2 linked regions of the Caenorhabditis elegans genome follow. The protein of the gene in region 1 interacts with the protein of each later gene in a pairwise test. Each region holds a gene or a part of one and is shown in the gene's direction. Other genes may lie near its edges.

Region 1 (7,186 bases):
GAGCCAATTTCTTAGGATTTCACTGGAAAATCCTTATGCAACGTATTGTATGACGTATGTTCTCGGAATCTATATGGGTGTAAACGGTCAACAAAGACCAACGCACTGAAGGATTATAGGTTCTCGTTGAACTCGATTTTTTGGTTTTTTGAGTACTATTTCCAGTACCAAAACGAAATTCCTTGGTGTGTTTGTCGCTGAAGAAAAATGAGAAGAAGATACCGTAATCGTTTTCCGCCATCTCTATCCGTTCCTTCGTCCTTGCCACTACTTTTTTCCCCATCTTGTGGCCAGTCTCAGACAGTCAGCCGATCCATTCTTTCCACGACGACGACGACTCCTTTTATAACAACCATTCGAGAATCAATCCAATTCGCGAAATTGGGGTTTTTGATCCGCCCGCCGCTGTCACCTACACAGGTTTTTCGCCTTACTTCGTTCAAATGAGCGAGAACTTGAGGGGGGAAATGAGAAATTCTCATTTTTTGGAATTTTTGTGCAAAAGTGTCGCATTTTTTCAACAAAATATCCCAGTTTTTCCAATTCTCGGGGATTTTCTACGGTCACAATACGGCATATTTATATGAAAATTACGCCCGGAGGTTTTCCTATGTCACGGCCAGAAATAGTCGAATCATTGATTATATTTTTCTGAGAACGGCAGGAAATTCTGGAAAAGAGTACATGATTTGAATTTCCTCATTAGGAAAATGCAAGATTCCTTGGAAGATTCAATTTTAATACTACGGCAGTGTCCATTTTTCCGTTGTTCTCGCTTTAAATCATATTCAAGTGGTGGCAGGTTGTCCCATCACGGTTTGATCTACAAAAAATTGCGAACTCTGCGGCTTTTCTCCCGCATTTTTTGTAGATCTACGTAGATCAAACCGAAATGAGACACTCTGATACCAGGTGCATATTTCGGTTTTGTTGTTCCTAAATCCTTAAAATACAGGATGTAGGGAGGCACGGTCGCCTTTTTCCAATTTTTTTTGGGAATTTTGTTAGATGCCGAGAAATGGTGTCGGTTTTTCGATTTTTGGAAAATAAAAACTATATAAAAAAAATCATATTTTGGTTAATTTTCTGAGCATTTTTAGTTTTTTATCGAAAATTTTCGATTTTTTATAATTCGAAAAATCGAAATTATTCGTTTTTCGACTTCAAATCTTAAGATTTTCCCTCAAAAAAAAAAAATTTTTTTTTTGTTAAAAAATCTTAAGTTTTTTTTTCAAAAATGTCGAAAAATTAAGTTTCTCCACATGATCGTACGATTCACAGGACCCTCGATGATGCAACTACTACTACTACTTCTGCAGCTACTGCTGCTGGCGGCTACTTGATCGATTTCCGACGTGTCTTCTTCTTCTTCATCGTGTCTCTCCATCCCTCGCTTCTCCTCTTCCCCGCGTCAATGTGTGTCTATATGACCGTCGGTTGGTCGGTGTCGCCCGACTGCCCCCCGACCGCCGCCGCCAATAGCATCAGCAGCAAAGACTTGTGCGTCGTTTTCCCTCAGTCTCTCTACTCGCGTTCGGTTTATCCGACACGCTGTCTCGTGCTCTCTTGGATTGTCGTGATCTCTCTCTTCGCCGCTCGCTCTCTCTCTCTTCAACAATAGTTTTTGGGTCGTCGTATACCTCCTCCTTCTCCGGGTCTCTAGTAGTCCGCAGATTGTCTTCGTTTTCTCCCCCCATTCCGTTCCCCATCGATTTACGAATTGATTGATTTTTTTTCGACTCGTTGCGGTCGGCTCGGCTTCTCTTGTTTGCTCGTTACTTTTGGACTCGTGGCGAACTTTTTAACGGGAAAATCTTCTCATTTAGTGGTAGATAGTCAGTTTTTTTAAGTCAATTTGAGCTGCGATGGAGTAAATTATCTGCAAAAAGTCACAGAATCCCAAGAATTTTCACTAAAATTTCAGAAATGTCGGTAATTTTTTTTCATTTTCAGAAAAAAAAAGCATGATTTTCTTTAATTTTTAAAAAGTGAAATTGTGTAAATTCAAAGTTTTCGCACAAATTCGAATATTTTTCACTGTTCAGTCCACTAAAAATTTGAAAAAAAAATTTATTTTTTCTATGAATTCCACACTTTTCGTGGTTTTAAGCGATAAAATTGCGAAATCTGCACGAATTTCGCTTTTTCGCAGTGAAATTCAATTAAAATGTGGCAGTTTACAGCAGAACGCTAAAGGTTTGAGCTTTATGTGAAAATTGAACACCTGTCGGGTCTCGCCACGAAAATTAACCTGATATCTGAAAATACATAGTTTGTTGAATTTTGTACTCGTTAATTGCGATTTTCCGAGAAAATTGGTTTTTTTTAATCGTAAACAGTCGCTGCGGGACCCAAAAGGGTCTAAAAATCTCGGATTTTTCCCCATTGATTTTATTCAAAATTCTCAGCTTTTCTCCTCTCCAACCCCCAAAAAATCCTTCAAAAACCATCAAATTTTCCAGTAAAAAAACACCGTTGCGATCGATTTTCGACTCAAATCAACCGACGAGCAGCAGCAGCAGCACCGTATTCAATTGCAGTTCGTTAGTTGCTTGAAAGCGCGAACATCTAAACCCCCACGGAACCCCCCTATACAATCCAAAAAAACCACACAAAAAATGGAAGGACAAAGTGAAGTTATTCAGAAGAAAAAAGCCAGGTAAGAGAGAGAGAGAGAAGAGACGCAGAGAAACACGGACTGATGAATCATTATGAATAGAATCGGGCCGTCGTCGTTGTTGTGTGTGGGTGTGTGTGTGATATGATGAATTACCAGTCACACAACTATGTATAAGGATGTATAACCGAACCGGTTTCTGCGGAACATTGGTCTTTTGCACTGAGAAAGTGAAAAAAAAGTCCAGAAAACTAGAAAAAACCATTGAAAACCAATTTTTCCACAAAAATTACAGAAAATTTAACTATTTTTCACATTTTCCTCTCAGACTGCAAAATGCGTGGAAAAATCTATTATTTTTGATAATTTGTCGTTAAAAATCGATATTTTTCATCTTTTTGTAAAAATATCACTGAATAAAATATCACTGAATGAAAAATGAATTAAAACACAATTTTTCCACAAAACTACAGAAAATTGGATTATTTTTCACATTTCCCACCGTTTTGAGCAATTTTTTCAATATCGAAACTCCAAATTGCTTGGAAAAATTGTTTTTTCCACGCATTTTGAAGTCTGAATACTGAAAAATGCTTGAAAACAGTGGGAAATGTGAAAAAATTCCAATTTTCTGTAGTTTTTGTTGAAAAATTGATGTTTAATGTTTTATTCAGTGATTTTTTTTACAAAAAGATGAAAATAAAATCGATTTTTTAACGAAAAACAATCAAAAATTGATGTTTTCCTTCATTTTTGATTTTTTATTCTGAAAAAGTTGCATATTTCACAGGAAAATTAGTAAAAATTGATTTTTCATCTGAAATTCAAAAATTTCTAGCGTTGAAAAATCGATTTTTATTGGTGAAAAACGTTAAAATTACCGAAATAATGTTCAAAACCGCTAGAAAATCATAAATTTCGGTTATTTTATATGATTTTTTGGAGAAAATCGCATGTTTCTGCTACAAAAATCCTCAAACTCGATATTTTAGAACGAAGACAGGCTGTGATGTTGGATGTCAGACGGAGCAAGGAAGTCCCAGTGTGTTTCAACAAATGAGCCAGCTGATGTCCTCGTCCACGTCACATGTAGGCACAGGCGCAGGTAATATAATTGCTGAAAAATTGGTAAAATTCGAGAAAAACCCGAATTTTTGGACGATTTTTGCTTTAAAAATTTATGAAAATTGAAGAAAATGCGACATTTTTCGCGTTTTGAAGCATTAAAAAAAATCAAAATTTCAGTCGACACAACATCGTCATCTGCATCTGCTTCCGGAGCATCCACGCCAGCCAATCAAGCCGCTTCCTCGTCGCCAGCACCATCGGGAGCCCCAGCAGTGAGTTTTGAGCGAAATTTGTTCAATTTTCTGTGTAAACCACGCGAAAATTGCGTAAAAATCAGATAAAAACACATCAAAATTGTTGATTTTTGGGCAAAATTCACTGAAATCAACGATTAAAACTATGGAAAATTTGACAATTATCAATTTTTCGATTTTTTCATGTTTTTTAGGCATTTCCCGGCGGTTTTTTCGAGAAAAAGGAATTCTGAAGTTAAAATTTTGAAAAAAAACGAGAATTTTTCCAGGCCGATAAGAAGCTAACCGGACCGGCAGGCGTGAAGCCCAACGAAATTGAAGCCTATTTTGGTGAGAAGAAGCCGCCGAGTCTGAATAGTTCGACGAACACGACGCAACCACAGCAGGCAGGCCAGACGACACAGAAGGCTCGTGCCGCGTCGACGACTGGCGTCGTTGGTGAAGGAAAGAAACAGGTTTGCTAGTTTTTTGTTTTTTTTTTTTTGCTGAAAACCAGGAAAATTTCTTATAAAATAAAATTTTGAAACGGTTTTGCGATTAAATTTCAAAAATTTAAAAAAAAAAGACTTTAAAAAGACAAAAAATCCCAGAAAATTAGATGAAAATCCATTTTTATTGAAAAAAAATTCAATTTTCGCCCCTTCCAGAATTCGAACGCAAACGCCTCCTCATCAAACGCCGCGGCCGGTGCGACAAACGGAAAAGCCGTCGATGGACCATCATGGAACGACGAGAACTGCAAACTTCGGCTCGTAATCAATCGATTCTCGCAGTTGGAGGAGACAATGTGCTCGCCGCCAAAATCGATCGAAGGTGTCTCGTGGAAGATAATGGTGATGCCGAAACAGCATATGGTTCAGAAGAAACAACAAAAATGCATGGGATTCTTCCTGCAATGCGCACCCGAAAGAGCCTATTCTGAGTATGTTGGAGAGCCCGGGAAATTCGAGAAAAAAACGCGAAAAATTGTATTTTAACTGAATCTGTGTCGAAAAAAGTGGAAAAATACTGCAAAACTGGGCGAAAATCGCATTTTTGGCCTGAAAATTGTCATGTTTCGATTTAAAATGCTCAAATTAATAGAAAAATCGAAAGTCGAAGTTTCCAACTTCGAATTCCCAATTTTAAGCTGAGTTTACCATTTTCACGACTGAAATTTTGCCAAAAATTACAAAAATTCACATTTAATGCTTCAAATTACCATTTTTAATACAAAAATTTGCTGTTTTCGCCATTTTTCTTGGCAAAAAACACAAAAAAAATTTAATTTTCGGTGAAATTTCTTGAAAAATGACATTTTCCGCTTCCAAATTACCATTTTTAATACAGAAATTTGCTGTTTTTCGCCATTTTCAGGGTCGAAATAATGCCAAAAATCCACATTTTCTGTGAAATTTCCCACCCAATTAGCATTTTTTGCCATTTTTTCCCAACAAAAACCCCGAAAATTCACACTTTTTCCAGCCAATGGAGCGTCCACGCGATAGCCGACATGCGAATGATCTCGTACAAGCCAAACGTGCCCCACTTTGCCCGACGAACGACACATACGTATACATCGAAGGAAAACGACTGGGGTTACTCGTGTTTTATGACTTGGGCGGTGAGTTTTGAGGCGAAATTGATCCATTTAATGTGAAAATTTGACTAAAAATTGAATTTCATAAGTTTCAGGCGAAAAATATGAAATTTCAGATTTTTTTCAATTAAAAATACCACAAAACCGATGATATATTTTATAAAAATGGTTTTTTTTTTTTTGAAATTCCGCCGAATTTATCTCATTTTAAAGGTGGTGTAGTCGAATTTTTTATTGATTTGTTTGATTCAAAATTGTCTGAAAACACCGAATTTCATAATGAAACTTCTTGAAAACTTCTCAAAAAAAAAGTTATGACGGCTCACAAAATTGCCTAAAATTAGTTAAAATTTGAAATTTGACTTGTCAAGCGGCTGGAAACAATTTTTTTTTTGAAATCACCGTCAAATTTTGAGTATACAATGTAATTATCTTGCGTTTTCAACTCTGATTTAGGTATTTTAAAGTCGATGGACGGCGAGATTTGGTTTTAAAAAATTAAAAATCTCGCCGTCCATCGACTTTAAAATACCTAAATCAGAGTTGAAAACGCAAGCTAATTACATTGTATACTCAAAATTTGACGGTGATTTAAAAAAAAATTAGTTTCCAGCCGCTTGACAAGTCAAATGTCAAATTTTAACTAATTTTAGGCCATTTTTTGAGCCGTCATGACTTTTTTTTGAAAAGTTTTCAAGAAGTTTCATTATGAAATTCGGTGTTTTCAGACGATTTTGAGTCTAATAAAGCAATTTTTAAAAAATTCGACTACACCACCGTTAAAACATCTGAAAAATGATGATATATTTAATTAAAATTGAATTTTTGAAATTCCGCCAAATTTATTTCATTTTAAGCCGCTGAAGTATCAAAAATTGAGTAATAATACTCAAGCTTTTGACTAAATTTCACTAAATGTTAATTTTTCAATCAAAATTACCAAAAAAAGGCGTTATTCTCTGAAATTTCAAGTTTTTTGTTAAAAAAAAACCTAACTCATAACATTTGCAGGATATCATCGACGAGGCACAAGGCTACATACGTGATGATACCGTAGTACTGGAGATTGCTGTGAAAGCAGAAGCACCGAAGAACATGATGACACACGAGGACTTTCTTGATAAGATCAACAAATGGATAGTTCTGGCCGATATGCAAATGAAAAAGAACAATATAGATCTCGCGTTGGAAGCCAATCAAAGTGCCATGAAGTTCTGTAAGGGAAAAGACGAGGAATGCTATCAACGTCTCGAAACTCAACGGGAGACATTTGTGAATGCGAAGCTTTTCGAGAGTATCGAGAGAATTGAGAAGGGTCCTGTAGTTTGTACGGATACGACTCACGGAAAACCAACGTCACTTCGACAGGCGCTAACTGGTGCTCAGAAATCGTTGAATGGGAAAATGACGGCGAAGGGTGGAAAGAAGGCGCGTGCAGTGGTCACTGTTCAGCAAATGAAGAAGAAGAAGCCGTATGATCAGTGAGTTTTTTTTTTTTGGAGTGGGTGAAAGTTTCTATAATTATCTTATTGGCATTTCAGGAACAACACCAATCAACAGAGAACCAACACTGGTGGGCCGACTGTTAAAGGTAAGGAGAAGCTGGAGTTTAAACCGTTTATCTGGTCAAAAATTGATTTTAAAATCATTTTTGATAGAATATAATGG
Region 2 (6,401 bases), on another chromosome or scaffold:
CTACATCAATGAAACTTTGATTCTAATTCCCGTTTCCTCTGTAGAAAGATGTTTCGATGTAGTGTGGCGCCTCTAAAGTACGATCAATCTGATGTAATCATATAACACGTGTCATTTCGATGTCCTTTTCGTGTCTAATTTATTTCCATTTTTATTGGTTTCTAGTCACTGAATTGAATGTTCGCTTTTGAAAAGTTTTCAGAAAATAATTTAAAAATTATAATTAGTCTGAACGCATGAAGTCAGAATTTGAATTAGAGAAAAAACAAGATTATTTCTTATTTAACATTTCTAGTTGCCCATTCTCTCAAATTATCTTAAAGTTACTAATTAATTCCTTCCAAAAACAACTTCCAAAATCGAAGTAATTTTATTTTCGATTTTACATTTCACTCTCATACTTTATGCTTTTTTTCTCTAATTCTTTACTCTCTAATGCATGTCACTGGAGCGCGTTTTCCTCAAAAAAACTTTAGCCGAGTTTTTTTGTCAAAATTTCGTAAAATCTCTTCAAGCAGTCAGCTGTTTTGGTTTCCTTTGATTGTCACGTGTATTTATTCATGACTAGTTAATCGCCAAGTTCTCGTCTTTATTCCGTTCTTAATTACACAAGTTAAATATAATTTTCTTACAGAAAATATCGTAGACGTAGAGCAAACCTTCGTAGTGAAAATTATATAAAAACGAGAGATGTCGGTGTACACAGCAGTTCCAGGTTAGTTTTCATTTGATTAATTAATTTATTAACATTCAAGTTTTAAAAATATTTAAATTCAGGTGTATCGAGAGATGACGTCATAAAGTTTTCAAAAGATTTCATGGCTGGTGCAACAGCAGCTGCAATTTCAAAAACAGTGATTGCTCCAGTGGAACGGGTCAAACTAATCTTACAAGTAAGTTTTCAGTGAATTTGAGCATTTTTTGATGTGTAGAAAATACTTGAAATCATAAAATTAGCTTTTGCATCATTTTTTTAATTTGCATTTTTCAGCTCCAAAACTCGCAGACAACGCTAGCTCTAGAAAATAGATATAAAGGAATAGTGGATTGCTTTATCAGAGTGCCTCGAGAACAAGGATTCCTTTCATTTTGGCGAGGAAATTGGGTGAATATATTAAGATCGTGCAGTCAAGAATCTCTAGGATTATCTTTTAAAGAATTTTTCCGGAAATACAGTCTGGAAGGAGTTGATCCCAAAACACAACACTCCAGATGGTTAGTAGGTTGGTTTAATGAAAACGATGGCTAAGCATATTTAATTGTATTTTTCAGGAAATCTGGTAGCTGGAGGTGGATCAGGATGTGCTACTCTTGCCACCATCTATCCTCTTGATTTTATAAGAACGAGGTTGGCCATCGATTTGGGAAAGAGAAAATCGGTAAAAGATTCTTTTAAAAGTTTTTTTTTTTAATTAATTAAATTTTCTAACGATTCAATGTTTTCAGGATCGCGAATTCACGGGAATGTTCGATTGTGCTAAGAAAATAATTAAAAGTGACGGAGTTCCAGGCTTATACAAGTAACTGATTTTTTTTGTGTAACTGATTTCAAATTATTTATTTTTCAGAGGTCTGATTCCATCGCTTCAATACATGATTATCTATCGAGGAGCATATTATGGTCTGTTCGATACAACGGCTCCATATATGAATAGTGACGGAAAGATGACATTTACTGAAGCATTTCTTGTTGGACAAGTCGTCACTCTGATCGCTGCAATGACATCTTATCCACTGGATACTGTAAGAAGACGACTGATGATGGGTGCTGGAAAGAAGACGTTACCGTTCAATAACACAATATCCTGCATCAAAGTAAGATCATTTAATTGCTTCTCGGACAAAGATTTATTTATTTTCAGTACATTTACACGAAGGAAGGACCCAAGGCATTTTTCCATGGAGCCCTGGTGAACGCGATTCGTGGAACTGGTGCAGCATTGGTTCTGGCGATTTACAATGAACTTCAGAAGTACATGTGACAACCTTCCATAATATAGATAATCTTTAAAATTTCTAGTGCATTCTCTTATTTGTTCGAAAATCAGGCTCTTTTAGAAATACGTGTAAATTTGTATGTTGAAGCCTGTGCCCATTGTTTTCTGTTATGATAACGAAGAAAAGCTTTTTTTGAATCATTTTTTTTATTCAGTAACAAAACAAGATCACTGATCCACAGTTATATATGATCCATTGATTGTGCGTTCACCGGAAAGAAGAATTCCTTTCGTTGATGTTGGAGCAGATGGTGATTTGATAGTGAGCACCGCCTGAATTTCAACAATAACTAATGAACGACAATATTGCAGATTTCACGAACCTTTGCTGATGCATCTTTTCCAAAACCATGGCTTACTGGCGACATCTGGACAAATACGTGGCAGCGGGGTTTCAGAATATCCACAGCATTCGAATGGATAGAGAAAGAAGCGAGAAGAAGCGCATTTTCTTGTGATAACGTCTTTAAATGTGTGTAGATTTTGTGCACGAAAATGGTAGTTTCAACTGAAGTTGCTCCAAATTGCTCCAATATTGAAAGATCATCGAAGAGAATAACTGACGCAGAGGAATCAATTAATTTCTGAAAAATTTTGAGTTAAACAATTTTTATTCGAAAAAAGATATATGCTGAAATACCTTGTACAACTCGTCCATAATTTGTTCAGAGGTGATATCAAATAATTCGAATGGTTTCAAGAAATCGTAGAAACTAATTTGAGTGGGATTCCATCGAACTCCAGCCTTCGAACAAATCAGTCTATAACAATTAGTTTTACTTTCCATTTTATAAAGATTTACTCACTTGTAATTTGTTTCAGACAATTTGGTCGAAACAATAGCGACTTTTTGACTTGAAGTCGAAGCTGTAGAAAGGAAATGAAGAACAAATGGGAGTGACGACGCGTTATCCACTTCTTCACATACAATCAAGCCCTTAATTGACTCTTCTTGTCCTTTTAGAATTTTCAGCATTTTTTCTTTTTCTGAAAAATGTTTTTTTGTATGAAATCAAATGAAGAAAACGAAGTTTTGCAGAAAAATGAAAATGATACAATTTTAGTTTGTCCGAGAGGAGTACAAATGACTCGTAAATCGGTTTCCCCTCCCTTGGGTCTCGCAGGGAAGAGCCGTTGCCTCGACGACATTTACGGGCATTTTGATATTTCAAAACTGTTTTTTTGGCAAATTTGCATAATGAACACTTTTCGTCGATAAATCATCGTTTTTTGTGATTTTTTGCAATTCACATTTAAAAAAGAGTTTATTGCAGGCATGAGCTTGGGTCAATTGTCATATACACCAGTGACGGATGTTGGAATTGGAGCAATTGAGTTGTATTTTCCCCAGAACTTTGTCGATCAAAATGATTTAGAAAAGGTATTAATACCATTATTTCTTCAATATTGATTCCTAAATTGCAGTTTAACAATGTATCCAGCGGAAAATACACAATTGGACTGGGGCAACAGCAAATGGGATTCTGCTCGGACAACGAGGACATCGTATCCATCTCCCTTACAGTCACAAGGAAACTTATTGAAACTTACAAAGTAATATTCGCTATCAAAGTACTTAGTTTCCTCAGTTTCAGTGTGTTTAGATCTCGACTGATTCGATTGGCTGTTTGGTTGTAGGTACCGAAACAATGATCGACAAGAGCAAAAGTGTGAAGACAGCTTTAATGGACTTATTTCCTGGAAATTCGGATATTGAAGGAGTCGACATCAAAAATGCCTGCTTTGGAGGCGCACAAGTGAGTTTTTTGTCTCTCAAAATAGAATCTTCAATTATATTTTCAGGCACTGCTGCACGCTATCGATTGGGTCACAGTGAATCATCCGCTTGATAAGAAAAACGCAATTGTAGTAGTCGCGGATATTGCAATATATGAAGAAGGTCCAGCGAGATGTACAGGCGGTGCAGGAGCGATTGCTTTTCTTATTTGTCCAGATGCTTCTATTCCGATTGATCGGCAGTTTTCAGCGTGTCACATGAAAAACACGTGGGATTTCTTTAAGCCAATTAGTAAGCTATTAATTTCTCTATTTACTTTTAAAAAATTAAATTCCAGCGCCGATTCCGAGTGAATACCCCGTTGTCGATGGATCATTATCATTGAGCTCATATTTGGAAGCAGTCAGAATGACATACACATATTTCATATCAAAAGTTAATCGCCATACAACGGGTATCGACGGGCTGAACTCATTTGACGGAGTGTTTCTTCACTCACCGTTCACGAAAATGGTTCAAAAAGGCCTGGCTGTGATGAACTATACTGACTCGCAACTTCGTCACAAGCAATTGTAGGTTGATTAGTTTAGAAAAATTTTCAAATGTTTATTTTATTCAGAAATGGAAATGGTGTCGATCATAAACTCGATGAAAACGATCGCGCTGGACTTGCAAAAATGATCGAATTGTCTGCTCAAGTTTGGAAGGAAAAAACAGATCCATATCTTGTTTTCAACAGGCGAATCGGAAATATGTATACTCCATCACTCTTTGCTCAACTTTTAGCATACTTGGCAGCAGATGATTGGTATGATGAAGAATATACCGATTTTTAGAGCTAATTTTTAAAATTACTTTTCAGCGTCACCGGGGAGAAAAGCATTTTATTCTTCGCCTATGGAAGTGGTCTAGCGTCAGCAATTTTCCCAGGAAGAGTTAGGCAGACATCTAATCTTGATAAAATTCGTCAAGTCGCAATAAGGGCGATTAAAAGGCTCGATGACCGAATTCAGTTTACTCCAGAAGAGTTTACAGAAACATTACAAAAAAGAGAAGTTTTCCTACGATCAAAAGGTGAGTAATTCTAATAGTGATTGGTTTTTAATGTCATTTTGTTTTTCAGAGATTCCAAAATCTCCATCCGAAACTTCATTGTTTCCCAACACTTATTTCCTTGATAACATGGACAAGCTTTATCGCCGATCATATACTTTACACGAGGAACCAAACGGTGTTCAAAACGGGAACGGAATTCATCATTAAAAATGTATCTTTTGTTTTTTTTTTTTTAGTTTTTAATTTTATCACATCGTTTGCCATAGTCTACTTCTTTGTTACTGTTTTTTATTCGCTCATTAGAGTTGTATTTTCTTTTCTTTTTTTTAAATTAAAACGAGTTGTTTTTTTCTGATAATTGATTTTGTTGAACACGTGTACTATTGTCACGACAATATTTTCCATTTCTCGAACGGCTCAATTTAATTTCAAAGTTAAGATGGGAAGAGATCGGTCGTCAAGCTCGGACACAGACGACTACTACCGCTCCAGCAGCAGCAGGTATGCACCGGACTTTTGAACGAAACATGTTTCATTTGGAGGACCATGATGTGAAGCGGTTAAATATAAATTCCAGAACAGCTTGTGGGAAGCTTCGTGAGCCCCACGAAACCACTGCTCTGAGCATCTTCAAAAACTCACCGCAAGCTCGGTTCTGAAATTTCGCCGCTTAAAATTCATATCTCACCGTTCCTGAATTTTTTCACATGAAACATGCCTAGTAAAAAATCCTGATGGCACCATCGGCCCCTCAGAAGTAAACCATCCAAAATTAGAATTTCAGAAAAAGAGAAGATTCACACCGCCGTCGCGACGATCGGCATCGGGACTCGGATCGAGATCGAGATCGACGAAGGAGAAGGTACGATGTGTTCTTAGTTTTGGATTGCATGATGTACTCATGATGTCAACACTCACGGGTTCTTTTCCCTTTCTGGATTAGGACGTTTCCCACTCTAAAAAGGGTTAATTTCTGATGAAAAACAATGAAAAATCAGAAAAAAACAAAGAATTCTCGGCAACAAACATACACGTTGCATAAGCCCTCATTTTTACAGAAAAGGTTTGCGTTCATTTCCGCTCTTCGCCACTCTCCGAGTCTCAAATGAGAAAGTGATAATAATTGTGTTATTTTGTGTACATTTTATAAATAAAATAAACCGCCGCTTAGTACTTTTTATTTAAATCCGACTTTAGCGTTTAGCGTCAACTGATGGGAAGGAGCACACAAAAGCTGTGGATGAATACGGTTTTGAGCAACACGAAGAAGCTTAATAATAATAATCATGATAATATTTCTAATTTCGTACTATCAAAATTGTTTTCTATGTTTTTGCATGCACATTGAAGAAACTCGAAATAATTTACTCTACTTTAACTAACCAAACTTTCAGCCGTTCTCGTTCCAACTCGAATCGTCATAGAACAACAGGAGGATCTCAACGGAGTCGTAGTAGCCGACATGGATCAGATTACAAGGATACCTCGTTGATGACTCGACCTTCTGTGGCAAGCCATTTCGGTACTCCTCCAATTGATGTGGCTGATTTCGACAATTGGGTGAACATTCTTGCGAAAGTGGATCAGAGTGTACGGCATTCTTTTTGTGG

The links.
Region 2: the proteins of pqn-87 (region 1) and hmgs-1 interact in a two-hybrid assay, tested with the Caenorhabditis elegans proteins (one large-scale study listed by BioGRID).

What each region holds. Positions count from the first base shown.
Region 1 is NC_003280.10:12,217,066-12,224,251, reverse strand, and holds the start of pqn-87 (MATH domain-containing protein), read left to right. Parts: upstream 1-2,618; coding exon 2,619-2,659; intron 2,660-3,609; coding exon 3,610-3,722; intron 3,723-3,862; coding exon 3,863-3,957; intron 3,958-4,208; coding exon 4,209-4,394; intron 4,395-4,586; coding exon 4,587-4,861; intron 4,862-5,403; coding exon 5,404-5,542; intron 5,543-6,529; coding exon 6,530-6,999; intron 7,000-7,059; coding exon 7,060-7,109; intron 7,110-7,186.
Region 2 is NC_003283.11:5,681,460-5,687,860, reverse strand, and holds hmgs-1 (Hydroxymethylglutaryl-CoA synthase), read left to right. Parts: upstream 1-3,271; 5' UTR 3,272-3,273; coding exon 3,274-3,378; intron 3,379-3,422; coding exon 3,423-3,551; intron 3,552-3,601; coding exon 3,602-3,754; intron 3,755-3,800; coding exon 3,801-4,026; intron 4,027-4,072; coding exon 4,073-4,307; intron 4,308-4,354; coding exon 4,355-4,543; intron 4,544-4,597; coding exon 4,598-4,809; intron 4,810-4,858; coding exon 4,859-4,998; 3' UTR 4,999-5,140; downstream 5,141-6,401. Other genes in the region: F25B4.7 (ADP/ATP translocase), read left to right, coding at 691-715, 778-893, 992-1,223, 1,273-1,379, 1,447-1,520, 1,569-1,815, 1,863-1,982; F25B4.4 (Elongator complex protein 6), read right to left, coding at 2,166-2,270, 2,321-2,581, 2,638-2,758, 2,804-2,973; prp-39 (Pre-mRNA-processing factor 39), read left to right, coding at 5,231-5,292, 5,576-5,653, 6,186-6,381. UniProt on the Caenorhabditis elegans protein: This enzyme condenses acetyl-CoA with acetoacetyl-CoA to form HMG-CoA, which is the substrate for HMG-CoA reductase.